Lytechinus pictus: one gene and its partner. Each later gene encodes a partner of the first gene's protein in a complex. Links are inferred from orthologs where the notes say so. Each region holds a gene or a part of one and is shown on either strand. Other genes may lie near its edges.

Region 1 (17,343 bases):
GTGATCATTTTTCCATTATTATTTTTCAAGGTGATCTTTTTAAGTCTTTAAATGGACATGTAGGGGGGAAATGTATGACATAAATTATTATTTTCAGAAAAGAAAAAAAAAATCTTTTTTTTTTTTAAATTTAACATGAAAAAAATATTTTAATGGGATGTGGATTGAATATAGGTTTGCATGTAATATCTCAAATTCCAGTATTATCAGCATTGTATGTGCAGCAGTTTTATAGTACTACTATTTTAATCTTTGTGTGTACTTTGATATGATCTGGTGGGTGTTTCATAAAGCTGTTCGTAAGTTAAGAGCAACTTGAAGAACGACTGGTGATCCTTGTAAAATTCATTGGCGATGGTTAAGCACGTAAGAAAGGTTCACCAGTCGTTCTTAAAGTCACTCTTAACTTACGAACAGCTTTATGAAACGGCCCCCTGGCTTTTCTTTGGCATGTATGAGTCTTGAGTTTTGCAACTAATTTATTTGATTCATATGTTTCTTGTTGCTTTCATTTACATTCTCTACATTATCTTTAAATTAATTTACAAATTAATTCCCAACTACTTTAAGCACACTCAAAATGTGAAATGAAAAATAGCCTTCTGATATATGTATCTCTGCACAGTGTGAAGTTATTTTTTTGTATGTTCGGTTAAGTTTGTTCTTTATGCAATTTGAAATTATTATCAATTAGAATGCTTTTGTGGTGATGGTGTAATATTTTTTATGTAAACTTGTGATAGCATGTAAAGAATGAATGCCATGCAATACCCTTATCATATTCTATTTTTTTTTCTTTATCTCTTTTCATATTCTATCTCTTTGATATATGTCATTTAGCCTTAAAGTGCAGGCTTATCCTCAATTTTATTATCTCACAGTTTTCCTTTAAATGTGTGCACATTTATCATAATTCTTAAAGTGTGAATATTAAAGATGGCAGATCTTGGGAGAGGGGTTAAGGGAGAAGCAAAATCCTGTCATCCACCCAAATAAATTGGGATTTTACGCGCTGATATTGCAACATTACACATTCGTACAAGTATATTCAACATTGGTAATAATTAGTTTTCTCCCCTACCTCAAATTAGAGAAGCTAATAAAAGGCAATAGTTCTTGGATAACATCTATATAATAATTATAAGTATCAATTCTGCAATATGGAAATCTTGAATTAAAGAAAATAACATGGAAACAATTGTCATTATTATCCCCCAAAAATTAATTCAGCGTTCAAAGAGTTCATATTTTTACTTTAAAATAATGATTTCTCTGTTATCTATCAGCATTCTTTATCGTGTGCTATGGAGGTATGGAAGAGGGTAGGACATCAGATTCTGGATCAAATTGTTTTTTAATTTAGACTGATTTTAAAGTTGAGCCTTTACTGACTGAGCACCTGTTTAGTATTAAATGTAGGCTTTTAGTGAATGTGCCCATGGTCATCAGATTTAATCTTGCTTGTTCATGTTCACGCTCCACTACCGGCATGCGCATTCACATTCTCCACTTGCCCGGGAGGAATTTTGAAGGCATATTTGAAGCGCCTTTAGGGCTACAGATTCTAGTGACTGTTAATATGTACCAATTTTCATCAATACACCCACCTCTTTGAGGGAAAAGAAATAGTATTGTCGGTTGTTTTTTACTCATTGTAACAGTGGAATCATTTGAAATTGATATTTATATGCAGAATAGCTAATATATTTTTTATTCCACATTATTGATCAATGTTTATCAAATAAATTGGAGGTGAAACAGATTTATAATATAGTTACAAAATGTTCATATGTTAAGAGGGAAAGTCAAATCAATTTTTTAGGGGAAAACATGAAATGCCGGACATACATGTAAGCCTGGGCATACATAGTTTTGTATGTGTATTTTGAATGAAACACAAAAATTGTATAAATGTCAAACGTTTTGATAAATTGTAACTGACATAACTGATTTCATCAGGCAAAAACTTGACTAAAAGGCTGATTAAATGTGCTCTGAGCAATTTTAGACTTGATCAAGTTTGTTGTATACAACTAAGTTAATGTGTAGTTAAGTTTGAATTCAATACTATGTCAAGTATGTACTTCCACTTAATTCATATTAGTCAAAATAAGCATTCATAGTTTCAAATTAATTTTCCAGTATTAATTAATCTTGGTTATTGGGCTTAGTCTTGTCATCTAATATTTTCACATTAGTAATTATTTAAGTTGACTTATGATTATTTGCACAACTCTCTAATCAGAAAATCAATATGTATTTCTCAATTTTTATTTACACAACTGTAACTTTTGCTAATCATTTTGCATGTTTTTAAAAACATTTTTATGTGTAGGTATATGTATTTATAAATCATCAGTATTATTAAATTTATTATTCCTTGAAAAGTGGATAAACCTTTTGGACTAAATTATTGGACCTACATGAAATTTGGTCCTATTTGCATTAGTCTTTATATCAACAATCGCTACATGTACCAGTTGCTCGAACCCCCCCCCCCCCAACTTTAAATGAAGTTTTTCTGTGGAAGTTTGGACAAGTAACCAATATTTTATTTTGTAATTTGCAATGAGTCTTCAGGCTGATCATAGAGTTTATAAGGTGATGTTCTTTTTAATATTCACCAGTGCAACCGAAACCAAGGATTTCACTGAAATATTCAGAGCAAACATTAGTGCTGGTAATTTTCATGAAATTTCCCAAACTTTAAGAGAAAGTTGACCCTAAAGTTAAGTTTATTCAAATAAATCAAATGTGAATATTGCATTGAAATCAGAAAAAAAAAATGATCGTGTTATTTATGGTTTTCATTATTTTAGTGAAACAGAGTAGTCGAAAAAGCACTTTTTTGTATTTTTTATCAGATTTTAAAGGGAAAGTTCACTTGAATGAATTCAGAAAAAAAATAGAGAAAAGGGTTTATTTTCAATTAGTCCGACCAATGCCAATTTGTCCAATTACCAACTTGTCTACTATCATTTGGTCTATCATCAGTTTGTCAACTTTTCACATGGTCTAATTGCCATATCATCCACTCACCATTTCGTCTGATAACCAGTTCATCAAATAGCCATTTAGTCCATATACATGTACCATTTGGTCTAATTGGACTAAGTGTTTATTGGGCAAAATGAATGAAAATAAAATATTAGACCAAATGGTCATAGATGAACTGGTGATTAGAAGAAGTGATGATTGGACCAAATGGTTATTGAACCAAATAGTTGCTAGACGAAATGTTGGACGGAATGGCATTAGACTAAATGAAGGTAGATCATGTGGTGAGTGGACGAGTCGGCAGTAGATGAATTGGCAATTGACCGAAAAAATACTGGTCAATGTTTAATGAAAATTTGTCAAAGAATAACAGAGATGTGAATTTTTTTAAATTTTGATTTTGTGACATCAAAGACTAGCAGCATCTCTATATTTGATATATATTCACAAAACTTGCATTTTCTCAAAGATACATAAGTGATTCTATTTGTACAGTGGGTATATCATCAGACACATATACCACCTTCTATAAGAAAAAACATGAATTTATATTATGTAATATTTTTAGCAGGTGTTTGTGTTTTTAATTTGAAACATAAAATCACAGTAATCAATCCATGTATGGGGGAGCTTCTTGCTTGCATCGTCACATTAAAAACATTAAAAATTAATGTTTGGGTTAATTTTCTCTAATTTTTCTGCTTTTATTAAGACCATCTTATCAGGGTAAACTTCCCCTTTAAATTCATAATTTTCTCTTCTTTAACGTGTTTAAAGAATCTCTCCCTTGTTTCAGAATATGCAAACTAAAGGATTGCATGACCAGGTTTTTTGTTCTTTGGCCAAAATCCTAACATATTGTTTGCTATTTAATGAAATAAAATGCAATAAAGTGTGTGTGACACCACTCCACTCAGCTTTGCATTGCCTTATTCACCGTTTTGGGCACCATGCGAAGTTTGACATGCTCATATTTTCTTATTTCATTCAATTTTGAATAGTTTGAATAATATTGGAAACATGGGGTGTGATTTGTCTATCACTTTGATGCATAAGTGGATTGATCACAATTTGAATTATGCCACAGCACCCACACATTGTGAATATTTATATCATGTAACCACTGAAAATTTGCTATATCAGGTATTAAAGTCCTATATATATACTTTAATTAATTCAAAGGAATTTTTTGAATTATATGTTTCAGAATCTCATTTCATTTTGTACTTCTGGTATTTCTGAAGACATACATGTAATATATACATGTTAAATCATTTACCTCCATTGTTCAATTAAAGGAATTATTTTTAGAACTATCTGTTTTGGATTTTTCATTTTGAACTTCAAACATTTCTAAAGACTTACATGTAAATTGAAGGAATAATTTTGGAAGTACAGTATCTGTTTAAAAAATCTTATTTCATTTCTAACTTCTAATATTTCTAAAGACATGATTAAAGTTATTTAAATCCATGTGGTCTGCCTCTCCTTTTTCTCTTTTTGATAATAGGTTATATTGGAGTTTACTATAGGCCTACATGTCTGATATCATGTGGTTTGTTCAGTCACAGAAAAGGAAATACTCCGCCTCTATAAACTAAAGCCTTACTGCCCCCCACGCCTATATAAACCATCGCGATTTGTAGTTCTTGTATGTAAGAAGTGGACTTTATTTTTTTTTCTTTGAAATCATGCATGGAAAATGGGGGAGAAATAAGTATATTGAATAATGTGAATTATTAAGGGACAAAACGTAATAAAAAATGAAATTGACTTCTGTTTACATTTGTTTGTTTTATTTTATTCCTCTGATGATCCAGCTGGCACAAATAACTTTGAAGTTATATGTTTACTTAAAATGTTAATTTATAGCAAAGCAGTTTAAACAAGTTGCAATGTAATTTTGTTTTCCCCGAAAGGGGGGATAACGCCGGGGATCTGGCTTGAAAATACAATGTGAGACATTTCAGGAAATATGTGTTCTTCACTGCTATTTCAACTTATTCATCTTTCCATAATAATCATTTCATATGATTGTGGTCGTTTTTTGTGGGCATCATCGCGGAGGGAAAAAATGGTTTAAAAAATATATATAGGCCTATATGAGCATGGTGAGTTCCGTCGTGTTATCGCCTTCTTCCTTAACGTATTCATTTAGAATTCCATCGCAAACCTAATTTCTTCACAAAAAATGGGCTATGCTTAAAAGGTACTCACTCAGCCTCAAGCGTAATATTCTGCCAAAAATCATTGCTATATACAGAACCCTGGCTACTCCCCCTCCCCCCCCCCAAAAAAAACCTTGCAACTCGTTCCATCTACTCAAGTTATAACTCGTTCCCTCTACCTAATAACGCGTTCGTTTGTAATTTCTTTCCAATTATTCTTCTCCCTTTCCCCCATTCATTTTCTTAATTTCTTCTCTTATACTCATGACTTCCTCTTATCTTTCTCTTCCCCTTGGCGCCGCCAATATGGGGGCACCCACCCCCCCCCCCCCCCATTGATCCGCATTTGCAAACATGATAATGAGTAGACCCAACAAGAAGGCTTCTTTTTTCTAAACAGTGGTATGGTTTTTTAGTTAAAACTGTATTGGCCGTCTTGAAATGAATTGCCACGACACCGGACTCTGTGAAAATCAATGGAAATCCCCGAGTTTTAACATAATTATTTGAGGGTCAGCATGTTATTATTCTGTCTACCATCGAGACGCAAAGACTCTTCTTGTGTACGTACCGTTCAGCAAATTTTTGAACTGGTGATCGGGGTGACGACAGATATGGTGAGAAGGGGAATACACTTAATATTGAACGTCTAGAAAAAAATATGATAAAAAAATAACTTAAACAATTATACGAAAACAAAACAAAGGAGCACATTGAGAAAAGAGACCTATCTTTACACACTCCCCCTATCATTCAGCAAGATACGATGACAATTTTCAAAAAGTGGTATAGATATTATAACATCTGCTTATACTTTTACAGAATTAGCTCCTGAGAACATTCCTTTATAGGCCTACTTTTACAGTGAAACCACTCATTTCATTTCATTTTCATTTAGGTTTTATTTCCACAAATCCGTTATGTTACAAAACTTAACTGACATAACTAAGCTGAGCAACCATTACAGACGTAGACTATATAAGTATAGATAGCAAGCATTCTTAATCACTACATATCAATACATGTTTAAGTACATAAAAAAACGGAAAAGTGGAGGAAACCTTGGAAGCAGAATGCTTGTAGATAAGGTTCCCTTTTTTATACAGTACATTTGACATTACTACTTAGTAATAATACACGTGACAACATTTTATCAATTAAATTACACCCACAAAAACAACACAACACAGAAACGTGACAAAAAACAAAGAAAGAAAGAAACGAAGAAATAAAAAAACAAAAGAAATAAAGTAAGCAGCTGCCATCCAACAGAATTTAAGAAACTTCTGGATAATAAGCTCTGTGGACAAAAATGCAATAGAGCATGCCAATAAATAGCAATTTCAGTTTGTTTCATTATATCGAAGAAGAAGCTTTGCTTTCAAGTGATGTTTGAAAATATTATAATTTTGTAGTTGCTTAAGTGTCATATCCAAGGAATTCCAATAAACTGGACCAGTATATACTATCGTTCTTTTCCTAAGTACTGTTCTCAACCTATGCAAGTGAAAGAATGACGACTGTCGGGTAGGGTAAGTATGCAAATGTTGATTCTTTTGGAATAGTGATGTAAAAGCATGAGGAAGATCATTTGAGTTCAATTGAAACATGAAACACCCTAAAAATAAATTATATAAATCATGCACCTTTAATACTTTATTGTTGAAAAATAAAATGTTTGTGTGACTTAACCTGTCAGAATGGCAAATTATTCGCAATACCCGTTTTTGAAGAATTAACAATTTATCCAGTTGGTAATTAAACGAATTACCCCATGCAAGTATACCGTAGTTCAGTGGTGCACTCAGTGGTGCACAGGAGGGGCGGGGCTTATGGAAAAAGAGTGCAAGGAGAAGGAGTGAAATGTAATATATTTTTCTATTATCTCAAAATTTGTCACAAAAAAAAGAGTCCCCGTTTTTTTTTATATAGAATGTCAAAAAATTTGCTCCTCGCTTTGGAGTGTTCCAAATTTTTTCAGTTTTATCAAGGAATTTGTGGTCGCTATTTTATAATAGACAGATGGTCCTTCTAGATCTATACAGGTAGTAAAAAGTTGCTAGGCTTATAGTAGACAGCTGGCAGCCGTCTGTTTCTTTCTACCTCCATGGTTTCGAGGAGTTTTTAACATTTTAAATTTCTCCTCTGTATTTGGTGAGTGGAGCCAACGGAGTTCAGCGAAACAACCAACATAACAGAGACCGAAGCATTTGGTCTAGTAATCTTTTCCAGTATTGTCAAAGAGGTACATGCGGGAAGGAGGGGGGGGGTGTGTAAAGTACATGAAAAAGGGGCCCAAATACACCATGTGCAGCTGTGTTTTGGAGCGAGAGAGCACACGCCCACTCTCTCTGATACGCAATATGCGCTACGATATGCCGCCGCGCGCGCCGATGAGGAGTATGTACCGCGGAAGTGTCACACACGGAAGTGAGAAACGACGGCTCAATTGTTGTCCACGAAAAAGACGGAGATTTCATTTTATTTGCCGTGAAGAATCCATATTTTGAAAACCAAAATGCCGGTGAGTGTTCTTACAATTGATATTATACCCCTGTCTTAGCTTGGTGCTCATACATTTAATATTTAACCTCAAATTAACGTCAATATTTGGGTTGAAACTTACATACAGTCGCACTCGTAAGGTTTTGTGTTGTGATCTTCTCAAGGCAAGGGAAACCAGTCTATTCGAATTCAGCCATGCTTAGGGCGTTAGGCTTGGTTTCAGGACTTGAAAGTTGAAACTGGGACTCGGACTGGGTGGAGTCAAGCTAATGAGACAAAGGAGTAAGGCAATTAGGGACTGGGCAAGGCGGGGCTCAAGACCAGGCTTAAAATTGTGTAGAAAAGGGAGCTGAGACTGCATCGACTGAGTCTGAGGATGAGAAAAGTAATTAAATTTAATTCAAAATGAACCAAAGCTCAGTCAAAGCCAAGCAGTCATGGCAGTAAACATTAATGACTGGTAGATTTTAGATCTAAAGCTACATGTTTGTGGAGGAGAAGAATGAAGCCTTGAAGTAGGCGAAGGAAGCGAAGCCAAGCAAGGTCAAGGAGAAAGGGAGGAATTGATTTTAAAAAAAAGATAGGTCTAGATCTGACTAGAGAAGGGGAAAGAACAGCATGATGAAGAAAGTTAGATAGAACTTGGAAGGCAAAGAGAAGAGAATGAAGGAGAAGAAGAAAGAAAATAGAATGAGATACAGAAAGAAACAAAATGATAAATTATTGAGAAATATAGATGGAAATATTAGATGTTTCAGCAAGGAATTTACAAATATATACAACCTGTACCGGTACTACATGTAAGTAAAAACTAACATTTTCTTATTCATGTCGGTTAATTCATGTATTTTTGTTTATTTTTCTGTTTTACATGATGATGTTTTTGCTGGTCTTGATTTCTACTTGTAATTTCAAGTGTTGATGAACAGTTTGGTTACTCCCTGAAATTGGCTTCCCAGAACCAATGCTATGAAATCAATGTCCAAATTGCTTTGTCATATCCAGGCCTATCACTCACAGTTGAGTACCAATATGAAGATTGGAAACCTGGCCCTTCTACCTCTCAATACCAAGTACAGAGGACCAGCACCACCTGGCAGTAAGTTGACCCATGTTTACTAAATTCTCAAATCCATAAGCATTATAGGCCTACAACAGTAATCAAGTTCTAAAAGACAGGAGGCTAGAAAGAGACTACCTTACTCTGGCATAATCATCCATTAGGGGAGATTCACTAATGTCATGGCTTAAATGGGTTTCAAGTGTGATAGAATCATTTCTATTCTATATTTTATATTTGTCTAATTCTTCTGAAATTTATTGTATCTATTAGTAAATCACACAGGGCCAGTATTCTGTGAATTATGATCTCTCTAATATCTTACTTCTTTAGCTCTAATTGTATTTCATTCTGATTCTTTTGACATTAACCCTTAAATAGATCGAAAGAAAATGTCTAAATCATAACGATGAAAGTGTAACTTTATATCATTGCTCAAGCACTTAAAAAACTACAGGAGTAGTCCGCACTCTAATTCTTATCATTTTAATTAATTATAAAAGGGTAAATTTCACTTCAAAATGAGAAACATTTTAATTGGTTAATAGCCATCCTTGGTTACAGCATATATATGAACTTGACCTTTTTTGTTATAGGGTTGGGTGAGACTTATATTTTGAAGTAGTTATGTAGGTACTTGTATCTTGTTATATGATTTGTGAATCAATATCATTCCTCTTTTTCTTTTTTTTTGTAAATTGCTGCTGATGAATGTTTCTTTAGAATTAGATATTACGATCTTCATTATTTTTTTTCTATCTTTCATTCCCTCTAAGCTGGAGAGAATGACATCGTTGATGAAGCCCTTTTCTATTTCAAGGCAAACGTTTTCTTCAAAAATTATGAAATAAAGGTAGGTTTGATTGATGAAATCTATCCGTCTACTGGTCATTCATTGAATATGTTGAATATGTATGCATTGAATGGATGGATGGATGGATGGACATTTGAAAGAACAAAAGTATGTATGAACTAGAACTGCAATCGTATCAGAATGATGTGCATGCATTGACGCCTGTGATTTAAAGGAGAATGAAACTCTTGGAGCAAGTTAGCTTTTGTGAAAGCAGAAAAATCAAAGAATAAGATCAACAAAACTTTGAGTAAAATAGGACTAGCAATAAAAGAGTTATGAGCATTTGAATGTCGAGATCACTAATGCTATGGAGATCCTCCCATTGGCAATGCGACCAAGATCTGTGATGTCACACACGTACAACTCTCCCATTTGGACACTGAAAATATACCCCAAAACATCTCTTTTTGCTCATTCTAATCATATGACAAACGATTCATCAATGATATAATGTTGTGAAACCTCTGTACTTGTCATCTCATAAAGAGAACACCTCACCTTGTGATAGACTCTATAAAAGTGAGAATATAAGTGAAATAAGTACTAAAGTAATGAGGGAGTTGTACGTGTGTGATATCACAGATCTTGGTCGCATTGCCGTTGGGAGGATCTACATGGCACTAGTGATCTCAATATTCGAATGCTCATAACTTTCTTATTATTAATTCAATCTTCCTCAAACTTTCAACAATATGTTTCTTTGATTTTTCTCTTTGATATGGATTCAGCTGGTTTCAAGGGTTTCATTCTCCTTTAATAGAGGGCAAGGAACAGAAGAGAGAAAACTGTAGATGATATCCATTTTCAAAATATTAGAGGGCTCTATTTCTTAAAGGAATAGTCACTGATGCGTAAAACACAGTTGGATTATGTCAAATGATACAATTGGCAAACCCTGAAAATATGAGATCAAAATAAATTAAAACAAGGAAGTTATGGCAATTTTACTATTTTCCGACTTTGCAATAGAGGACGCTATTTATTAAGGTAATGGTCACTGATGCGTAAAAAACGTTTGAATTATCAGGGATGGTACCCTTAGCAAACTCTGAATATGAGACCATAATGATTGAAAACTAGGAAGTTATGGCCATTATACTATTTTCGACTTTTCAATACAGGGCGCTATTTCTTAAAGGTAATGGTCACTGATGCGTAAAAAACATGTGGATTATGAGGAATGATACAATAAGCATACCCTGAAAAAATGAGACAGAAATGAATGAAAACAAGGAACTTATGGCCATTTTGATATTTCTTTAGTTTGCAATAGAGGGCGCTATTTCTAAATGTAATGGTCACTGATGCGTAAAAAGAATATGGATCATGAAGGATGATATCATAGGCCAACCCTAAAAATTTAAGACCGAAATGAATAACAACAAAGTTATTGTCATTTTACTATTTGTTGACTTTGCAATAGAGGGTACTATTTGTAAATTTAATGGTCACTGATGCGTAAAAAAATTTGTTGAATTGTGAAGGATGATACCATTAGTGAACCATGAAAATATGAGACGGAAATTAATAAAAACAAGCAAGTTATGGCCATTTTACGATTTTCCTAATTTGCATTTCAATAAATATGAAAATTTTGAACGTAGACTATCTTGGATTTGAATTAAGGGCAAGAAGACGGCATTTTGAAGGGCAAGTTGTATATTTATATGAAAGAGCAACTCTTAAACAATCTACTGCAATTTGTTAGAAGTCTGTAGCATGCAGGATTCGGGAGTTAGGACGGGATTAGGAATGGTATGCAAATGGACTTGAAATTTACAAAATGGCGCCTGGATAGTCATGCATGAGTGATTTTGGAAAATGGAAGACGAGGTGCACAACTAGGGATGCTGGACAACATGTCTACCAAGTTTGGATGAATTTGGATGAGGGACGGAGCCAGGGCAGAGCTAACAAAAACCATGTGTTAAACAAATGGGATTTTGTGGAAGAAGAAGAAGATGACGGAATAGGAATACGGAACAACAACAGAGCATTGTCGCCTGTAGGCGTCAGTGCAATGAATGAATAAATGAATAAATAAATGAATGAAAGAGTGAATTATTGAAAGAATGAATGAATGAGTGAGTGAATTAATGAATAGTTTGTTGATTGATCGAAGATAGATCATTGATTTATTGGATTATTGATTGATTAATTGATAGGTTTTATTTGATTATTTATTGATTTAGTGAGTGTTGAATTAGATAATTTACGAAAAGAGATGATAAATTAATGAATTAATCATTTTAACTAATCATATTTTTATTAGAATAAGACAAACAAAGAACCATGTTAATATTGTTCTAGTAATTCTTAGGCTCATCTTTTGTTCTTAAGATAATGTGGTTTGATCAAATTATATTTTGACAGGGTGATTCTGATAGGGTACTCATCTACCTCACATTGTACATCACAGAGTGCCTAAAGAAATTACAAAGGGTAAGTTAAAAGTCTTCCCCAATGGTACTATCTGTACAAATGATGTTGACATATATATCTGTGTACTTCTATTTCTGGTGAGGTCCTTTGACAAAATATTACCCACTTTATCATTTCAGAGTTGGGGACCACACTCAGCATCTTTTCTGTTCTAATTTAGTTGGATTTCTCCATGAAAAAAAATGGGGGTGGTGGTGGGGGGGGGGGGGGGGTGATTGGGAAAGTGGCTGTAAAATATGCCATTTTTATTGTCCTAGACCTGCTTCAAATTACCAGTTAGCCTATCACATAGGTACTTGCAGTATGGAACTAGTCGCTGGAAACAAAGTGTGTGTGTGTGTTTTTTTTATGAAACTGGTCATTCAGCCTAAGTACATGTCAATCTTCTTCAGCCAAAATTAACCATTACGAAGAAGTTTGACTTGAAGAGGTAAAGTTCGCAAATTGTGATTAGGAAAATGTGGTCTGAAAGATTGCTTGACTTGCCAGATGATTGTTTATCTTCTAGAAAGTCCACTGTCACAGACTATTTAAAGGATACCAACACATACATATTCAAATGAATGATGATGATAATGGCTAATGTTATCAATTACATGTACCTGTTATTCTACCACATAAAAATCCGAGGCAATTCACAGACATCGCATGTAAAGGTCTCAGCATGCATGCTGATTCTAGCTTTTTAAAAGTACAGTTGATTGTATTTGATAAAACGACTCACTGTGCTTCTCATTTTGTTGATTTACCTCACCAGTGTTCCTCTACAACTGATGCTCAAAAAGAGATGGCCTCTCTAGCTATTGCAAAGTTCAGCATTCCAGGAGAAGCAGGCTTCCCCCTCAACGCCATGTATCAAAAACCAACCAACAGGGGAGAAGAAGGTAGGAAGAATAAAGGCCGTACAACAGTCTTTTTGATCAGGTGTTGTTTCTCAAAGCCAACTGTGAAATTTTGCAAAGTAATGAACCACTGAGACATGTCAAGCAGAATCAGGTTTCCAAACGTTCAGGATATTGAACTTATAGATGTTGATTTTACTGTAATCTTGTCTTGATTTAAAAAAAAATTAATTTCCATAATTTTCCTTTGTGTATCCAGACCAAATGAGGGCCTACGTACAGCAGCTGAGACAGGAAACCGGCCTGCGCCTGGTGGAGAAGGTGATGGATCCACAAACCAACAAACCAAGCAAATTCTGGATGTGCTTTGTCAAGAGAAAATTCATGGATCGCAGCCTCTCTGGCCCTGGGCAATGAAGAATTAATAATTTTTGTAATTATATAGGGCAGTTCCATTATACTCAGTCCCATGTATTACCTATCATGTCATTGCTTTCAGTTAGATATAGCAGTATCCTGCTGTAAGCCATACATGTGTATGTAAAAGCCTGAGGTGGATGTCACATCAGTTAAACAAGGATGCTACTTCTCTGACAAAAGGAGCAATTTATACATTTTCCAAATTTTTTGTACAAAAGGGTGTATTGCTCTATTTTAGATTAATTTTGTTTTTTTCAATGTTAAGTAGCATCTCTATTTAAAGTGATCTTCTTTTGCTCAGGTCCATGAGCCATGACTTGGCCGATCGCATACATATAGAACTGGCAGTTCTAATACACACTAACAATTCTTGGTAATACATAGGGCATATATGTAACTTCTTACGTGCCCAAATGAGAGACATGATGCATAGTGCACACACATACACATGAGATTGAGTCCATAATAGAAAGAGGATGTATTATAACTTTTTAAAATGAAATTTTATCAATCTCCAAAAGACACTCGATACGCTTCTGTTACATCAGAGATATATCTTTGTTTTATAAATTTTGCACATTCATCTACAGAAAAAACATGTTAGTAGGTGAATTTTCCCCATACTAGCTCTCGGATTTCGTCTAAAGAAAAGGTAGATGTGTGACCAATGTTTAGATTTCCAGTTTTTATCACCGGTATCCAAAGTGGATCAAGTGCCTTCTGGAAAATAATGCTCTAAAAGTTGATAAATTTTAAACATTACGTGATCGTTATTTAGTAATTTCCAGTAGTAATCATAGGTAATCGAATATTGATTTTAGTGAGAATAATCATGATTACCGCCGGTATTGAGGATAATTTAGGCCTTTGGAGGGGCCTACATAAATGGAAATACCTGAAAATATATTGCTCACAAAAGCCAAAGCATCTCACATGATATATGTATGATTTCCATTTACTTCACTTGAAATTTATAAAGCAGTCAGTCAGTAATCTTTGCAAGAGGTATATGATAAAACCTAAAATATTAAATATTATGAAGGTAGGAATATGTGCACTGCACAATGATGCATATTCATTATTCCTGGTTTTCTCATTAATCAGGAAAAAGGCTATTTTTTATTATGCACAACAACCCATGTAGTACAGAAACATTCTCCCTTTTCAATTTTCTTACTTGACTTACTTGAAGTACCCTATTAGCATTCCAACAACCCCAAATATTTATGTATTTTGAAAACATGAGTTTTATTTGGAATGTTTGATTAGGCAGACTTTCTATTACATTTTTTTTCTTTATTAGACTGATGAAAAATTATTTATGATTTTTGTGTACACCCATGGCATTTATAAATAAAAATAATGCAAGGAGAAATATGTTGGCATCAAATGCATTTCTTGTCAGTGTTACCAATTCCATTAGTAAGCAAGTAACTAATTTGGTAGGAAATGAATGACACATTTAATTGTTATTCCATAGATTAGTTCTTTAAGCAAATTATGTGTACTTAGATTTGTACAGAGATTGTTCCATGTGCACATGTTAAATGATGAGAAACTTCTTTCCAACATTGTATTTATATTAATCTCATTCTTGTATCAATGAAATAAAAAATTAAAGCACACTTAGATCAAAATTTTGGAGTGACATAGACGCTTTTATTCAAATTTCTAAGTCCAGAATTGGTTTGGTGAATAACACATGTATGAAAAAATGAAACATTTATGATTTCATGTAATAACATAAGAAAAAGGAAAGTGGGGATGTGATATCATCAGCCCACCTAGTGAATATTCATGATGACGTGAATATAAATGTTTTCACAAAATATTGCTAAACTTTAAAATTAAATAACTTCATTATTTGTTATCCGATTTTAATGGAATTTTTAGCATTTTGCTCTGAATTTTACTCTATTTGTTAAGATATAAATATTCTCGGCCTGGAGTATCCCTTTAAACTACAAAGCTCCTACATCTAAGAACAAAACAATATTTTTAGTGAAATATAATATCGTGAGTTATCTTTTGACATATGGTGCCCTTTGAGCCATGGGAGAGTTTCATGTAACATTTTATCAAGACTATTCAACATTTACTCTCAACTAAGGATTTTAATAGCTTGTAAAGGGGAATAATCCAACCTAGGTCATAAAATGTTGTATGAGAGAGGAAAAAATAAGTAAAACCGAATTGTGAAAGTTTGAAAAAAATTGAAAAGCCATGAGAAAGTTATGACTGCTAGTATAATTTTGATCCCAAACTATGACTTGCAAATCAACATTTCTGGATGTGATACAGTGCAGGGCCATTAGGTCATGCACAATTATGAAGTGTTTGTATTTCATTGACAATAGAAATAGTTTTGCGGATGAAAGTAATGGCAAATGGAGAGAACAAAATGTCTTGAGAGGAAAAAAAATGAATTATTGTTAAAAAAGAAAAGGAAAAAAAAAGGAGTATTTGGAGATATCGGGGTTCGAACCCGAGGCCTCTCGCATGCAAAGCGAGCGCTCTACCGCTGAGCTATATCCCCTTGCTCGATATGTTGAGGTGCATTAAAAATTATTATATTCAAAATGTTTTGCTGTATTACACAAAATCTTTTATTTCTGAAATATGATAAGGTCATTTCAACTTTGATATCATAAGTTCTTTACTTGCATTTGTAATGCAATCTATGATATATGTATCTACTCCAAGATTTCGAGTTTTACGAACCATTTTCTCACGCACTGAGCAACGGTCAAAGGTCGCCGGCCAGCAGCGTTCATCGAAACCAATTACACGTTCCCATTCGTTGATATTTGTGTTGGCTAATTGTACAGCATTAGAATTGTTGTTGACGATGACGACTGTCGGAATGGGAGTCTTTTCAAAGCGAATTTATCATCATATTTCATAAATGTCACACTGATTATGGATGAAAAGCCACCACCAAGTAGAAGGTCATCCGGACACAGTGATAAATCGAAGAAATCTGGTAAAAAGAAGAAGAAAAACAGCAAGCACAACAAAGATCGCGATCGCAAACGAAGTCCGGAGGAAACAAATTCTGACAGTGCATTGGAAACAAGTAAGCTCTCTCTCCCCGGTCTCTCCCCGGTCTCTCTCTGACTCGAAGTCAAATTCGGTACAGACGGTAGTTTACCCATTCCTACTCCTAGTTACTTAAAATTTGTTGAAAGAGAATCAGGAGAAGGGTGGGGAGGATGGGAAAATTAGAATATGAGGAGGAGGATGTGGACAATGTCAATGAAGAAAAGACGTAGAAATCTCGAATTTGATTTTGGAATACATGTATACCCAGTGGTTGTGTGTCCGGACGGGTTGGGTGTCCGGACACATGACTTTTACTCTCAATTTTGAAAAGTTTACAAGCAATGTCTTTAATTCTTTTTAGCACAGAATATAAGAAAATATTATAAAGAACAAATATTGATGGTGAAAAAAACTACTCAACCTATATTTGTGGTTTATTCCTGAGATAAAAACAAGGCTTCATTTCTGTTACGTGTCCGGACACCCTACCCCCCATCCTACCGGTAGTATGATCATGGTGTTCCCCAGGCCAAGTCTGCGCACCTAACAATTTAAATTAAGATTTAACACAAATTTCTTTCTATTTTACAAAATCTTCCAGTTAATGATGTTCCTTATATTATTATGAGTAAGTGTACCAAATATCTCATAAAAATTTGAAAGAAATATAGGATTTTCTTGGAAAAAAACTCGGGGAGTCATTTTCAGATTGAGAAAAAAATATGGTACCCCATGTCTGCGCACCCATTCACTGAAGTGCACACGATTCGGGGATTTTGATGAGAAAAGGCTGCATTTTGAGGCCGTCACATGAAATGCCAAAAATTCATTATTTTTCCAATATTTTGAGTCGGATTTTTTAATGAATATCTCTATGTATTGCATTTGTAAAGTCTGTGTTCGTTGCATATCTTCTTTTACTAGAATCGCGCAGATACGCGTGTGCACAGACAAGGGGGACTGCGCAGACTTGGGGGAACTTGCCATAACAGGGGTGATCAGGGAAAGAAA
Region 2 (16,589 bases), on another chromosome or scaffold:
ATGGCATTAGTGATCTCAATATTCAAATGCTCATAACTTTCTTATTATTCATTCAATCTTCCTCAAACTTTCAACAATATGTTTCTTTGATTTTTCTCTTTGATATGGATTCAGCTGGTTTCAAGGGTTTCATTCTCCTTTAAGGTGGGAAAGGCCGCCGAAAGTGTTGTCATATCTTTATCAAATAGAGTTATACGGTCAGGATATCTCTTTTTTATATTCTTCTTTCTTTTCTTTCAGTTCTTTTTTCCTTTTTTAAATTTCATTACTTAAAAAGACATAGAGGTCGCCCCCCCCCCCCCCCGTGTGGATCTTTAAGCGGATTAGACACAATAGTTTTGAGAGGTTGACTATTGTGCAAAAAAACAAAACAAAAATAAAACCAATATGGCGCTTAAAATGGTATTTTATCTAATCCGGCTGGATCCGCGCCTGTGTAAACCACGTAATCTTCTTTTTTCATCTTTATTCAATTTCAGTCTTCTGAACAAGTAGTCATGAGATGTAGATTTTTATCTGAGTATTATCTGAAAATGTAATTATTAATTTTCCAATACGCCAGTATACCACATATAATAATCATGAACCTCTTTTCATAATTTCCATATATCCAGCATAAAAGAATGAGTTGATCACATACAATTATATTTTTTTTAACCTGCTCTACATAATTATTTAAGGTCTTTAGGGAACTTGAAATAAAATCCAGTTTTGTACCATAAAGTAAATCTTTAATTCCATGTATCAATCGGGGTCGGGGTTGTTTGCCTGGGGTTCAGGTTTGAAAAATTTGCCCCGCTGAAGTGAAAGAAAGCAAACCCCGAAGCAAACAACAAAGTGAAAAAATTAACCCCCCCCCCCCCCTTTTCAGGGATGGAGGAAATTCACTGCAAGAGAAACGGGAGATGGCGCTCTGTCTTTGAGCAGTAATCCTATATACGGAGAAGGGATTATGGTATAGTGAGAAATTATACATGGTTAGCTAAAAAAATGTGCGATTGATCGATATCTTACTTGGCTTCAGAGTAGAAATGAAATATATATATTTCTTGGCTATTATACTTATCATACAGTCGTAAACATGGAAAGATTCCAACTGGTAAATATATCTGTATAAGCGGTGTATAAGGCTGGAGAGAACTCCGAAGTGATAGTAAAAATAATTCCAAAAAAGAAACCTTAAGAAGTAAAGAACTAAAAGTACTATAAATAGGGAACATTTCTGCCCGTCAAAATGTACAAATTCGGGTATGTACTTACCGTTTTCTGCTACTTTTTAGCAAACCGGTTTTCATGCAAAACTTTGAAATATATATAACACCCCAATTTTTTTTTTGAAAATTCATTGCATGTAGATTATTCTTCTAAAAAATAAGATTTGATTTCTCTTCATACAACACCAAAGTAACAATCGTGTGTAATTAAAGTAGCCTCTACACTAATCATTTCTTTAAAATTGTCTTTGAACACGTTTAATCAGAATTTCAAAAGAAGTGTATAACCTTTTGATACAATGTCATATATTTTAATTGATTTATTTTTGGGTCTGAACTTCTGAAGTAGTATACCTTCACATATTTTTTTTCTCTGTTTTCAGAAAGAAAATAAATATCGAAATTACAAACAAAGAGAAAGAGAGGAGGAGAAAGATCTGATTGACTTCCATAACATATCATATACAGTCATGTTTATGAATTACTGCTATATAGTTACAATTGTATTGATGCAAATACGATCATTTCTCTGAGTAAAAAAATACGTTTAGATAAAAGCAATGTAAGACAAGATACACTGTATGAATTGTGTTCTTTATAGTTGTTCTTTTTTATACATTTTTGTTTAATAGTCTGAATACGGGCAAGAATTTTAAAAAAGCTTTACAAAACGGGAACTCCGGATTATATTTTTTCATCACAATGCTTATGAAACATTATCGTTGTCATTAGAGTAATAAAGAATTCTGATTTTCAGGCAGAATAGTCCGACCATTAAGTATTCTGCATTAATACTTTACATTAATAATTTGTATATATATATATATATATATATATATTGTAAAGAAATGGATGAAGAGAACAATGGTAGGCGTAGCTTAAATCAAGGTTCCCCAGAGCTATCCAAAGGGTAGATAGCTCTGGGGAACCTTGATTTAAGCTACGCCTACCATTGTTCTCTTCATCCATTTCTTTACAATATAAATAAAAAGAGTTGCCAAAGCTGTTGTACATGTATAACTTTACATATATATATATATATATATATATATATATATATATATATGTATATATATATGGTAATTCGACCAAAGAGTTAAAATACATCATGCCAAAAACCAAAAAGTAAATGCATTCGTTTTGCTGGTCAAACTGAAATATATATTTCGTTCAATAATTAAAGACACTTTTCCAAACAGCCAACGATTGAATGAAATGTCATGATTGTTAATTATCAGGATCAGAATTAATTGATTCTCAGATTCCAATGCAGCCCCCCCCCCCCTCCCCAAAATATATTAAAATTGAGAAAAATGATATTTTGCACAATGTGCCGGGATATTTACTTTACATCATCCATCACGTACCAATATCAAAATCCATAAAAGCTCAGACAAATAATTTCCTGGGTCTTCAGCTAGTATATACCCACCATCCAAAGGTTATATTTCTTCATTTTTCATTAAGATGATTCGGTCTCTAAGACTCGTGACTCTCTGAAAGTTAGTTGATGGAACGAGTTATAAGTAGCAATTCCTCCTCAGTCACAACCGCTTGTTAATGCACCGTACATAATTCTTAAGAATCTTATTAAAGCCGTAAAGGGGGCAACATCCCGCCCCATCCACGTTAGAACCTTTGCCTTCCATTCGCCCCCCCCCCCACTCCTGCTTTCAAAATCGTGATATCGCTACAAGTTGTAGGTCATGAAACGAATTAGTATAGAAGAGAGAACGAATTATGAGAGAAAAACCTGCCCTGACACCATTATGATTATGTGCCACGTATCATTTGAGCATCTCATCGCTCCTTTTTATTTTCCCACCCACGATAATAATCATTCCCTGTATATTTTTCAAAAACAATCCATTTATATCAAAGTCATCATTGTATACATTTAGTTTATATGATATTTGCGGTCCAATCAGATATTCACCTAGTACATCTTGTTTGATCGCTTCATTTGCCATTATCTAACTTTCCTTGTTTTGTTAAATGTGCTAAGGGGAAACTTTATTTTGTCTTTACCGATTTCTCACTCTTGTTTCCTTGACTTTCAACTTTGGCTCTCAATCTCAGACTTTTTCTTGTGCCTGTTGTAACACCCTCATGACCACGATGGCATTCATGTTTGACATCTGCATGTTTGTCTTTTTCATTCGGTTCCGAGTTGGCCATCTCCGAATGTCTTCGCTTTCTCGATTGCTTGTTTGGTGAAAAGCTGTGTAAAATGTCATCTATTTCTTCAGCTTTGGATGTGCCTGATATGGTTTTCTCTCTTGTCATTGACACTTTCCTAGACTTTCTTGATTTTGATGTACACGATGTGCGAAACACTTGATAAAAATCATCATCATCTTCCTGTGTTATTCCTAAGATGTTGTTTGTTGATTTGTTATTTCTCGCTCCTCTTTTACCAGAGAGCTTTTTCGATTTTAGTTTGTTTGATGGTTTCACATCATCATCATCATTGGGCGCAACTTCCTTTATTCGTTTTACATGCGTAGTCTTCCTGAATTTCCCGATGTTTTCCAGTTCGCTCTTTGACACATCACTCTCATATCTCAGTTTTTGACATTCAGGACACCATGTCGTCATCCGCTTCAGTTCATCTCCAAAAATCCTCTCATTGTCTTATGACCATCGGGACATTTAAATTTCCAGTACATTTTTAACCAGGAGCCAAATTTTTTGTACTCTGTCAACTCTTCCTCCCATTTTAACCAGTCCTTTGTAAATCGCAAGACTTCCGTTGCGAGTTGCACTGCTTCATCTCGGGTCAAATTACTTCCTAGCTCAAGAGGATGCTTCCGACATGCATACAATACTTCATTCTTGACAATGTTACCAGCTCCTGCGAAGTATGTCTGGTCCATGATGGTATAGCATACTGGTATTGGTTTCTGTAGCGCTGCCGTCGCCTTTTCGACATCGAATGTCTCGGAAAGAACATCGGTTCCTTCGTCTTTGCATGGTCCGTCAACAATACGGATGCTGCCGCCGTAGAAAACGAGAAATGTCGTATCTTCAAATAGAAACTCGACCATAGGATTCGGAGCTTTCGGTGAGTCTAACCTTTTTGCTCTCTTCGAACGCTTTGAAGGTTCTTTATATTCGTTCGCGCGAAGGCTACCCCACATCAAGAAGTGATAGCGATACCAGATGGAGTCTTCTCCGTAATCTTGGTCTTTTTCTCGATGATCATGCACCTTCCGCGTTTTATTCCTCCTGGGTGTGTCCAATTCCTTGTCACTTGTGTCCCCTTTCGAAAAACCCTCTTTGAGGAGTTGAAAAAACAACTGCTTGCCGTAAACGACAACATCGTTGATGAATGCACCTCTCCATCTCTCGCGTTCCATAACTTTGCTGACTCCTTTCACTTCCTTGATGCGTTTCTTGAGGAATTGACGAGCGATGTTACCCCACCGTCTAACGCTCGGACCTTCGGGCATGATGCTGCCGGCGACACACCTGCAATCAACAATAGACATTTGTGAATATAATTTGAAAGACAAACATGCCTGTGCCAGAAAACTGCGGTATAATTTTAAAATTCGACACCTATATAGCCCCCCCCCTTCAAATTCATCTGAAAAAAAAAATTTTAATCATCAGCGATGATGATTGGATCTATCATACTAATACCAATGTATTATGATGTATCTATAGTATACATAAAATTATCGATTAGTATAAACGTATATGCAAATCTAGGGGCAGGCGAATGAGTATATTATAGCCGCACCCCGGGGCCGCACCCTCCCATTGACGTCGCGCAAAGGGAAAATGGAAAAAGGGATAAGAAGGGGAGAATTAAAATAATGATGATAAAAAGAAGAAAAAAAAGACAAGTGTAAGAAGTTAAGTGGATAAAATAAGGACATGGGGCAATAGGAAACTGGAAGAAATAAATAAGGTCACTAAAGGAAATAATAAATTTTCGCTCGCGCTTCGCAGTTTTTTTTTTGAGATACGAATGCATCCTGTTCATGATCTCACTAATGGAAAAGGGTGCTTAAAATGTCCTTTTCGGCATGTTCAGATCTGGATATAAAAAAAATCAGCTTACGCTTGCACATCAAAGTAAGATATATTCACATTTTCATACAAGTCAAACATGTGCTTAAAACATTCTCTTTTCAGGACAGTATCAAACATTTTCAGCACGATCGCGCTTCGCACTAGATCTGCATCATGCATACAGTATATAGCCCGGATATGTAGGCCATGAAAGATATGCCACCCCCCCCCCCCCCACTGAAAATATCAATCATGAAGATAAAAACCTGAAGATAATCTTTCATGATTCAAGGCCTGGGCAAGTAGAGACTAACATAACGACCGACTTTATGGATATGCTTTGAGTTTCATCTAACTCCTGATATCGGTCTTCTGTACTTTTTTTGATAATATCGGTGACATAAAAACAAATACGCCCCCCAAAATTAACAAATAATATATAAGAAAAATCCTTAAACAATTAAACATGAATCATTTTCGTTTATCACAAAGTTGCTGTTGAAGTTGAATTGGCGTTGCACAGCGTCTACCCGGCGTCTACCCTTATACATGTAAATAGATATGGTCAAGTTCGACCAGGGCTTCTACTTCTACGACAATACTCAGCAGGATCCATAAGTCAGGATGTGGATCCAGCTGATGCAGTCGCTTGTGGACTACTCCAGAGGACTTCTGTAGGTTCTGTATAGGAGTGACTCCACGTCCCGGCTCCACGTGTAATTGCAAATGACCAAAAAATGCAACTCGACCATGCCGACGACCACAACAATCATATTACGATATTCTCTTGACCCTACAACGCATTTTCGACTTACAAAAAGCGAGCAGAACATTCATCGGTCACCTCCTACAGATTTCGGCATCAGTTCCTTTAGCACTTCACCAATACACTTATATCTTGACCTTTCGTATGTCCAGAGAGTTGACCAACGCTCCCGCACTCTTCGCTTGGACGTGTCCGATACTGTATACAACAGACAATAACAAAAGATCTAATCAAATGTTGTATTGTTTGTGGCCCCTGTTTAATGCCGGATGGGCTGAATGATGCCTGTTGAGTATAACGTCGCGCCCCGGCAGTCGTGTGAAAAGGCCGCCAGGGGGTCGATGTTTGCAACAAAGCCTGTACTTTGTATACAGTTAGAAACTCTATTTTTACATCCTTCCTCTGGCTCGAAACAAGCTTCTATATTTTCCTTCATTTATTTTTTAGGTGAATAAGCTTGATATATGTCCTCGATCCCCGAATCTTTGATTTGACGATTACATTATACACAATGAATAATTACACATTACACAGTTTGTGTCAATTGTAAAGAATCTACTTGATGAATAATGTATTGACTCTGTGCATAAGCCATTCGAGACCCTTCATCAGGTACCTATATCATTAACATTTTTTTTCACAATATCGAAATATCATACGGCCTTATTTAGAACATTTAAGACGTACAACTAACAAAGTAACTTTATCTACAAAAAAAATCAAAGATTAATTCTAGTGTAAATGGGACAAAATATATGCCTACTTATGGCAAGTTAGGGTAGTTCGTAAACAAAGGCATGTACATCGATTTTAGTTCCAGTCTTAAGGATGACCACCCCCCCAAAAAAATAGTAAAAAAATAAACACTGTAAAAACAGACGTACAGAGAGACAAACAAACAAAAAGGGTAAACGTGGATGAAAAATTTTCAGCCCTCACCCTACCCCGCAGACAAGAATAGAATCTGCTCCCAAATAGATCAAGTTGTAATTTTTAATAGTTTCCTTCTCCTACGGCAAAATATACCCCCGGCCCCCGATGTACTTAATTTTTAATTCTAGAGCGTTCCTATTTCCGGTATGACGAGGCCCTCCCCCTTTGTAAAATAATTAATATCGAATTAAGACTGCCATGATAGCTTTTTATTCAAGCTCCCTTTAACTCTCACGTGTTATATGAATATATTTTTTTTTTACTTATTGCTTTATATTTTGGTTATACTCATAGCAGGGCTCCACACTAACCCTTTTTTTCTACTGGTCCAACCTATTCATGTCGGACCAGTAGATACCCAGTTTTTCAATTTTTTACTGGTCCGAACCTAAAATCTACTGGTCCCAAAAAATAAAGAAAACATTAAAAAAAGGTGTGAGTTTATTTTGCTGTCCTTTCTTGTTACCCCCCCCCCCCAAAAAAAAATGAAGGAATGAATGAATGAAAGACAAAAAGAAAGAAAGGAAGAAAGAATAAAAGAAAGGAAGGAAGGAAGAAAAAAGCAAAGGTAAAGAAAGGATAGATGTGAAGGAAGGAAAAAAAGAAAGAACTAAAGAAAGAAAGAAGGAAAGGAAGGAAAGAAAGAACAAAAATAAGAAAGAAAGAACGAAAGAAAAAAAGGAAGGAAAGAAAGAAAGAAAGAAAGAAAGAAAGAAAGAAAAAAAAAGAAGGAAAGAAATGATGCAAGCAATAAAGAAAGAAAAAAACAAAAGACAGAAAGTAATGAAAAAAGAAAAAGGAAAGAAGCAATAAAACAAGAAAGAAAGGGTAAAAGGAGAGATGGAAAGAAGGAAAAAAGAAAGAATAAAAGAAACGAAGGAAGAAAAAAGTAAAGAAAAAATGTGAAGGAAGGAAAAAAAACCAAAGAAGGAAAGGAAGGAAAGAAAGAACAAAAGAAAAAAAGAATGAAGGAAAGAAGGAAAGAAATGAAGCAATCAATATAGAAAGAAAGAACAAAAGACAAAGTAATGAAAGAAAGAAGGAAAGAAGGAATAAAAAAAGAAAGAAAGGGTAAAAGGAGAGATGGAAAGAAGGAAAACAGAAATAAAGGATTGAAAGAAGGAAGAAATCAAGAAAAGGGAAAATGATAGAAGGAAAAAGGAATGTTGGGAAGGAATAAAGAAGGAAGGAAGCAAGCAAGCAATATAAAAAAAAGAAAGAAAATGTAAAAGAATAAATGAAAGGAAGAACAAAAAAGAAAGACCAAACTTCAAAGAAAGAAAGGAAAGGAAGCAAGCAGTAAATAAAAGGAAGAAAGAAAAGGTAAAAGGATAGATGGAACAAAGGGGAAAAAGAAAGAACAAAAGACAAAGAAGAAAGGAAGGAATGAAAGAGAGAAAGGGCTGAAAGAAGGAATAAAAACAAGAAAGGGTAAAGAAAGGATGGATGGAATGAGGAAAGATAGAAAGTAACAAAGAATGAAGGAAAGAAAGGGGAAAAGAAGGAAGGAAATTAAGAAAGAAAGAAGAGATAAATATAGGATGGATGGACTCAAGAATTAAAGAAAGAAGGAAATCAAAAAAGAAAGAAAAAGAAAGAGCATTAGAAATAGAGAAAAATATTAACAGGACAGAAAGAATGAAAGAACAAAAGACAAAGAAAAAGGGAAAATTAAAAAAGAAAGACAGTAAAAGAAGAGAGGGAAGAAACAAAGAAAGATTGAAAAGAAAGAAGGAAAGAAAGATTGAAAGAAAACAAAGGAAGAAAGCTAAAACTATCATCATAAATAAATTATCAGTTTCTTTTTGGCTCAATTAAAATATACTAGTACTAGCTACAAAAGAAACCAAGTGTATCAACACACACACAAATGCATATGTGGGGCTATCATGTATTCAGACGATATCACTCGAAACCCGATCTCTTTGAACTAAAACAGAAGTGAAAATTTCTCCTTTTACTGCTTACAAATGACAGAGTTACCCCAATTTTGGCAATTTTTTAGGAAATATGGACATTATAAGAGCTTTTCATTAGTGTGAAATGTGAATTTTGACAGTTCTGTGAGAGATTTCTGCCAGAGGTTAGCCAAGCAAGCTTCGTCCGTGCAGCCAGTAGGAAATTTACCATGTGGGCTGTGTGGCTGGCTAGCCACGTGTACACTGTATGTTACCCTATCAAAATTGCATGCGATTCATTCTGTGTGTGTTCTGTGTGTGAATGCCAGAATTCAACGGGAGGAAAAGGGTTCGCAATTTGAGTCATGGAATATTTTTCATGTTTATGTTGGACTAGCGAATTTGACCATTTCTGAAAAAGTTACTGGCCCAACAATAGTTTTTATTACTGTTTATGTCGGACCCATAAATCTTGCTATTTTTGGAAAAATTACTGGCCCGACAATATTTTTTACTGGTCATGTCGGACCAGTAAATCTTGCTATTTCTGAAAATCTACCGGTCCGACAGTGATTTTTACCGGTCTGGGACCGTCGGACCGGCGCTAGTGTCGAGCCCTGCAGTCATAGAGATGTATACATCTCTATGGTTATACTATATTCGTTCCTCCCACATTCTACGCATCTTCTCGATTGCTTCCCCACCACATTTTCGTCGTTGTTTGGGTTTGATCACTCTTGTTTGGCTCCCTCTGAGTTGAAATCAGGAGAGGCATTTCGTGCTGATGACCGGGCGTTTCCGATCCTGGTAGTGTAGGAAGTGCGATAAAAGATGGTATGTATTATTTATTTTAGTAAAAAATAACTTTGTGAATCGATATTTATCGTATTTTCACTTTATATGTAACCATTGGCAGTCAGAGGCTTGTTGTCAAGTTTACTGGTAACGCCCTAAAAGGTGTCTAAATTGAACGCGGAAAAGGATGTCGAATATCTCACTTACGCCTTTATGGTCGAGGCACAGTTCATCCACGGGAGCGTTCTGGCCTGGCTTGCCTGGTGGTCTTCGCTACCTGTCCGTGCTGCGCCGCTGTCCATTACAATTGACTTCCGGTTATCCAAATAATTTTGACATCCCAATATACCATAAAATAGATGCCTTAATCATGTAATTTAAATTGAAAATATGTATTGTACAAAGTGATCCGAAACAGAACACACAGAGTTTCAGCTTCATAGTTCATACAACTTGAACTATTACAACAAAATAAAACTAAAACTAAGTTTAACAATAACATGTTTAAAACTAACCCAGAGAGCTCCCGCCCGCGCAGCGGGCGGGAGCCCAGAAGCTTACCGTGTATTTGACCATATTCACCGGACTAGGGTGATTTATGGTCTAAATATTTCTCCAAATGAATTGTGAAAACAGAAAGTATACAATTACCACGATTATATGGATGAAGGTCTAACGAGTGGCAGATTCCTGACATCTGGGCACAGTCTGGAACCTCAAAAAAACGAAAAGTTCTCTCCTTCTACCCCGTCTCGATCGGCCATTTTTGTTAAAAATCGTAACAAAATGGCCGATCGAGACTGGGTAAAAGGAGAGAACTTTTCGTTTTTTTGAGGTTCCAGACTGTGCCCAGATGTCAGGAATCTGCCACTCGTTAGACCTTCATCCATATAATCGTGGTAATTGTATACTTTCCGTTTTCACAATTCATTTGGAGAAATATTTAGACCATAAATCACCCTAGTCCGGTGACAATGGTAAAATACACTGTAAGCTTCTGGGCTCCCGCCCGCTGCGCGGGCGGGAGCTCTCTGGGTTAGTTTAAAACCTGGCAAGGCCTAGCCAGGCGGCTTCTAGAGAGTAAAAATCATTTACTAACGTAAGGTCACTCTCATGAAGCCAGGCCTTCTATCCCATAGACCCACACAATGGAAGCCAAAACCTGAAACTTTCACCCCCGAGATTTCTACTTTCCTTCTAAAAGATCTAGCTCTAAATCATGTACATGGGATAAAACTTCATTTCCGACATTTCTACGCTCTCGTTGTTATTTTTAAAACAAGAATTCATCAAAAAAATGAAAAAATATTGTGAAAAGACGGAAGAGACTTGCCCGATGTTTACGCCGCCATCTTGTTTCTTATTGTACTTCCCCAACGTTACGGACGCGAGCGTCATGATCCCAAAGTCAAATTCGCTTTACAGAATTATAAAGTAGGTCAAGGGTTTTGCTTGTATCGTGATCTCAAAATTCCATGACGATAGACTAGTGCGCGCTCGGCTGAAAAAAAGTGTCGTGAAAAATTGTGACCCTAATTTGCATGTCACGATCGTTCTGCAAAGCTTTAGAAAAGAAATCAAGCAGACAAAGGTACATGTAAGATAATTGTATCAAATGGAGGTTAAAATGCCATAAAATTGGTTAGTATCACATGTTTGGAGACCTTTGATTTCTGACACTTAACTCTCATCCCCATTTACCGAAAGTAGTACGTTAGTGCGAGCCCTCGTGTGTAATCATTTCTCCCAATTCGGGCCTTTCGTGTTTTGTCTAGATTTAATTTTTTTTTAAGGTCTAAATGACATTATATTATCTTGAACGATGGCCTTTATTTTTGTTAGACTATAATCTTTCTTTTGTTACAACAAATTTTCTAATAAAATTCGAAAATATATGTTACCGATGATTTATTCCTTTATTTTAAATTTGTATGTTGCTGCCCTCTACGTTAGTTGAGTTAGGCTTTTATCAAGGCTTTCTGATTAGAATTTTCTATATCCTGGCCAATCAAATGCGAGCGAAAAGTTCTGAACGAACGCACATAGACAAGCGCAACGCAGGGGCAGGTATCGCGATATATGGCGACTGGTAAATACGTCTGTAAGGATGATAACGTCATCCAAGATGGCAGCTTATGATGACCAACGAAAGGATCGAGGATGCCTATGTTTTGATCATCATTTGAAAGGAATTAGCGGTAACCCGGGGGGGGGGGGGGGCACTCAGTATATAATGCTTGGTGGGTATGTGCCGTGGAGGGGACCCCCACTTTTACACTCAAATTTCTGTTCAAAGGCATAGCCAAGGCTCCACATTAACTTTTTTTGGTGGTGGCCCGTTCGGGCCACCAAAACCTTCAAATAATTTTTTTTGGTGGCCCGATATTAAAGTTTGGTGGCCCGAAAAATATAAAGAAAAACATCAAAAATGAATAAGTGGGTATAAATGGTTTAACCACTGTCAAAAAAAATGAAAGAAAATAATAAAACGGCAAAAAAAAGTGTGAGAAAATTCCTTCCCTAAATTTGCCAAAATGTTGGAAAAATTCACATTTCATATGAATGAAATGCCTTCTCAAAGTATTTACTTTCTCAAGAGTTGTTTAAGAAATCATTTATAAACAAGAAAGAAAGTAACTGTCTGTTTATTTTTGGCTAGAAAAGACCGGAAAAGACACAGCTTTGAAAGAAACCAAGTAACAACATACATACAAATGCACATGTGGGACTGTGATGTACTCACCTAAAGATGTGTTTTTATGTGTATTATTTTCATTTGGAAATCGGTCTTTTTGAGTCAAAAGAGAGGTCATGATTCCTCTTTTTAATGCTAGCAAATTATCAGGATACACCAGATTTTAGCAAAAAGGTCTGTAGAAGGGCATTTCATTGGTGTAAAATGTGACTTTGGCTTGGATTTTCACAGTTCTGTGGAAGATTTCTTAGCAGCAACATTTCGTATTGCAGCTCCCTGAGTCTGAATAGGCTGCTAACGCACAGCTGCTTCAAGCATGCAAAGCTCACGCCAGCCGGCCGGCACAGCCGGCTGGATAAAAGCTACTTAATGCTGTAGCGGCAGGCCAACTTTGTGTGTAGATCAACAAAAAGGGCGCATGACAAACTGGCTTGCAATTTGAACTGTAGAAAGTTGATAAATGCGTGCAAAATGTGGAGAAAAATTGCGCTATTCTGAAAATTATTGGTTGCCCGATTCGGGCCACCAAAACTTAATATTTTTTAATTAATGGTTGCCCGAGGTGAATTTCTGGTGGCCCCGGGCCACCGGGCCACCGCTAATGTCGAGCCTTGGCATAGCATTTGTTTTCTTATTGAGAAAAAGAACAAAGAAAGCCACTTGAAAGCTTAGTATTTCTTCTTATCGAGAAAAAAGGAGAAAGAAACAAAATGAATTAAACATTTGGCATTATCCCACACTGACTTCTTAATCATGATAATGCCATCTACGACAATCAAGCATCAATACATTGAATAAATACCTTGTAACACCGCTCTCCCTAGACTCGCCTTGCCCTTCGTGGTCTAGCGGATACGTCTATGGACTAGACAAGTTTGGCAGGGCTCCACATTAAACCTTTTTTTTCTACTGGTCCAACCTGTTCATGTCAGACCAGTAGATCCCCAATTCTTCAATTTTTTACTGGTCCGAACCTACAATTTACTGGTCCCCCAAAATAAAGAAAAATATAAAAATAGACTTCGAGTTTATTTTGCTGACTTTAATTGCTTTTATTGCCCCCCACAACATAATTCATGAGAGCCATTTCTCAATTCTGGGGAGCCATTTTTTAAGATGCCAGAGCCATTTTATAATTTACAAAAGAGGGGAAAATATCATTTGTATCAGTATAATGTATTTTTTACTGGTCATGTCGGACCAGTAAATCTGGCTATTTCTGAAAAACTACTGGCCCGACAGCAATTTTTACTGGTCTGGGACCATTGGACCATGGCGTCTGTGAACTGAAGATCATAAACAGGCAGCACAGGATGAAAAACTCCCAGTAAAAATATTAGTTTTTACAGCTAAGTGCTGATCATTTAAGCTTTTCGCTATGAATGAACAATGAAGAGGCATGATACATGTAGCTCAGTCGGTATAGTGGGGTTACGGATTCCGGTGACCAGGGTTCGATTCCCACCAATGCACTAGTGCTCTTTGGTAAGGCATTAATCCTCATTACCAGGTCCCTCTGAGATGACCTCAAGCCATCGGTCCTCTAGTTGCTTGCTTACAAGCATTCATGCTTATCAATCAGGTAAAAATCATCACCATAATTTTTACTCTTTCTGATTCTTGCAGTGATTTTAGCCTTTGCATTCCATACAATGAGTTCTTACACTACACTTCCTTCCAGATTTCACTTTCATTGTCAAGATTTTTTGCGTAATTATGTTGAGATGATTCACACCCCAGGACAGGGTGATGTCATGAGCTATCATTAACATGATCGCTATCACAATTCTGAATCCAGCTTGGTGTTGGAGCTTGGTTCAGCAGTATCACCTAATTACATGTACTTGTACTGTCCAGTGGTCCCTCAGACACAATTTTTACATTTCAATAGCAAATAAATGAAGTGTTATTGTTGGCATACTTTGGTATACCAGGGGCTAGATAATTAATATTGGTCTCATTTTAAAGCTTAATGTGACTACATGTTTATAATAAGAAGGACGACACTCTTCACATGGCAGTTCAATTCACTGATTATCAATAATAATTGATTTAAAAAAAAAACATGAAAATCTTCATTCATATAACATACCCAGAAATATCGGAGCGGGACATATTATGAGATGATTTTTCAGCCGAGTGGAGACTTATTTTCATGTAATTGGTGTAATATTTATATGAAAGCTGAGTGCATGTATAAAATCTACCTGATCGTTTCTGATGGTATAAACTCATTTACACATAGATTTGTGTCATTGCCCTCAATAAAATGAGGAAAAATTGGCGGTGCTTGATGGGTGTCAGAAGCGGTGGACATTACATGTAAATCGATAGGATCGTTGCTTTGCTAGTATGCATAAATTTGGTGTATATGGGCTTGGCCTTTGATTTTGGTTTCATTTTACAGCTAAATGCACATGTCTTGACAGTGCACCTCTTCATTCATTGATTTGTTAGAATTTTTTTTAAGTGATGAAGAGGGTAAGTTTTAGATGTTTGAAATATGCAAAAAATGTTCATATCAAAATGTCCTTGATATGGTAAACGAAACCCTTTGATTTATGTATCATGATCATCTAACAGAATTTCATACAAATACCATATATCACAAGACATGGTATGGGTCCTCAAAATTAAAAGACATGAGCAGTGGGATACTCCAGGCTGAAAACAACATTTGAGCAGATAATAAGATCAGACAAAATCGGACAAGGAATAACAAAGTTATGACATTTAAAGTTTTGCATTATTTCACTGAATATGCATGTCCCGATGAATATGCACTTTATGTATAAAAATATAATATATAAATATGTGAAATAGCCATCTCCCACACAATGTGAGGGACCTACAGTATGCGCTATAGGCTGAATGTATCATTCCCCACAAAAGGGCCGGGGGGGGGGGGGATTTTGGAAGATTTTTATGTTATCAAATTGCACCAAAGTTGTGTTGATTATGATAATTCTCAAACTAATATCATTCATAGACCCTTATTTTGAATTTTGATGAGATTGTTTTATTGATGGTTAAAAGATGAATTAATTTGGGGGGCATAGGTTCCCTGTACAGAGTGAAGGAATGACTTCAGTCTATGGAAGAGGTGTAATGAAGCAAGTCCAGCAGAACAACCGACAAAACAGACACTAATGCTTTCGGTAGACCTAGCAAAAGACTTGAATGGAAGATTGCTACTTCATCCCATTACTTGTATATTCAAGTTCTTTTTGTCTAAAAAAAGAATAATAACATTAACCCTAAAAGAGCCGGGTTATTTAGAACCCTCTCACAGCCGGGGGAGGGGGGGGGGGTGGATTCTGCCCCCCCTGAGATCTCGGCCTTTGATTGCGTGAGTGCCACAAAAATTTGCACAGTGTCACTAGTGTGTGATAAAATCTACAAGGCTGTATGGTTAATTTTTTTTGGAAATAATAAGATTTTTTATTTAATGAATTTATTATGCTAATTTATGCATGAAATAAAACATTTGCTCTAATCAACTATCATACGGCCCCAAAATTCCTTCTTTTTATTCACAGACTCTTTGTAGGATCCTGATCAAATGTACTTAAAAAAAGAATTTGGTGTCAGAATTTTTTCTTATGTATTTCCGTGTTTTTCTACTTTTTGTTTTTATTGTTTTTTTTTGTCTCGCCTGCGAAGCAGAGTGAGACTATAGGCGCCACTTTTCCGACGGCGGTGGTGTCAACACCAAATCTTAACCGAAGGTTAAGTTTTTGACATGAAAGCATAACTTAGAAAGTATATGGTCCTAGTTCATGAAACTTGGACATATGAGTAATCAAGTATCACTACACATCCTGTGCGAGTTTCAGGTCACATGACCAAGGTCAAAGGTCATTTAAGGTCAATGAACTTTGGCCAAGTTGGGGGTATTTGTTGAATTACCATCATAACTTTGAATGTTTATTGGTCTAGTTCATACAACTTTGACATAAGAGTAATCAAGTATCACTGAACATCCTGTGCAAATTTCAGGTCACATGACCAAGGTCAAAGGTCAATGAACTTCGGCCATGTTGGGGGTATCTGTTGAATTACCATCATAACTTTGAAAGTTTATGGATCTGATTCATGAAACTTGGACATAAGAGTAATCAAGTATCACTAAACATCCTGTGCAAGTTTCAGGTCACATGACCAAGGTCATTTAAGGTCAATGAACTTTGGCCAAGTTGGGGGTATTTGTTGAATTACCATCATAACTCTGTAAGTGTATTGGTCTAGTTCATAATACTTGGACATAA

The links.
Region 2: actin-related protein 2/3 complex subunit 3-like (region 1) and actin-related protein 2/3 complex subunit 4 share a complex: the UniProt entries of both Caenorhabditis elegans proteins name them as parts of the arp2/3 complex. The link is inferred for Lytechinus pictus from reciprocal best matches to the Caenorhabditis elegans genes arx-5 and arx-6.

Annotation. Positions count from the first base shown.
Region 1 is NC_087246.1:16,001,213-16,018,555, reverse strand, and holds actin-related protein 2/3 complex subunit 3-like, read left to right. Parts: upstream 1-8,639; coding exon 8,640-8,769; intron 8,770-9,506; coding exon 9,507-9,583; intron 9,584-11,959; coding exon 11,960-12,028; intron 12,029-12,785; coding exon 12,786-12,912; intron 12,913-13,129; coding exon 13,130-13,287; 3' UTR 13,288-14,927; downstream 14,928-17,343. UniProt on the Caenorhabditis elegans protein: Functions as a component of the Arp2/3 complex which is involved in regulation of actin polymerization and together with an activating nucleation-promoting factor (NPF) mediates the formation of branched actin networks.
Region 2 is NC_087247.1:40,224,248-40,240,836, reverse strand, and holds the start of actin-related protein 2/3 complex subunit 4, read left to right. Parts: upstream 1-8,805; 5' UTR 8,806-9,662; coding exon 9,663-9,665; intron 9,666-16,589. UniProt on the Caenorhabditis elegans protein: Functions as actin-binding component of the Arp2/3 complex which is involved in regulation of actin polymerization and together with an activating nucleation-promoting factor (NPF) mediates the formation of branched actin networks.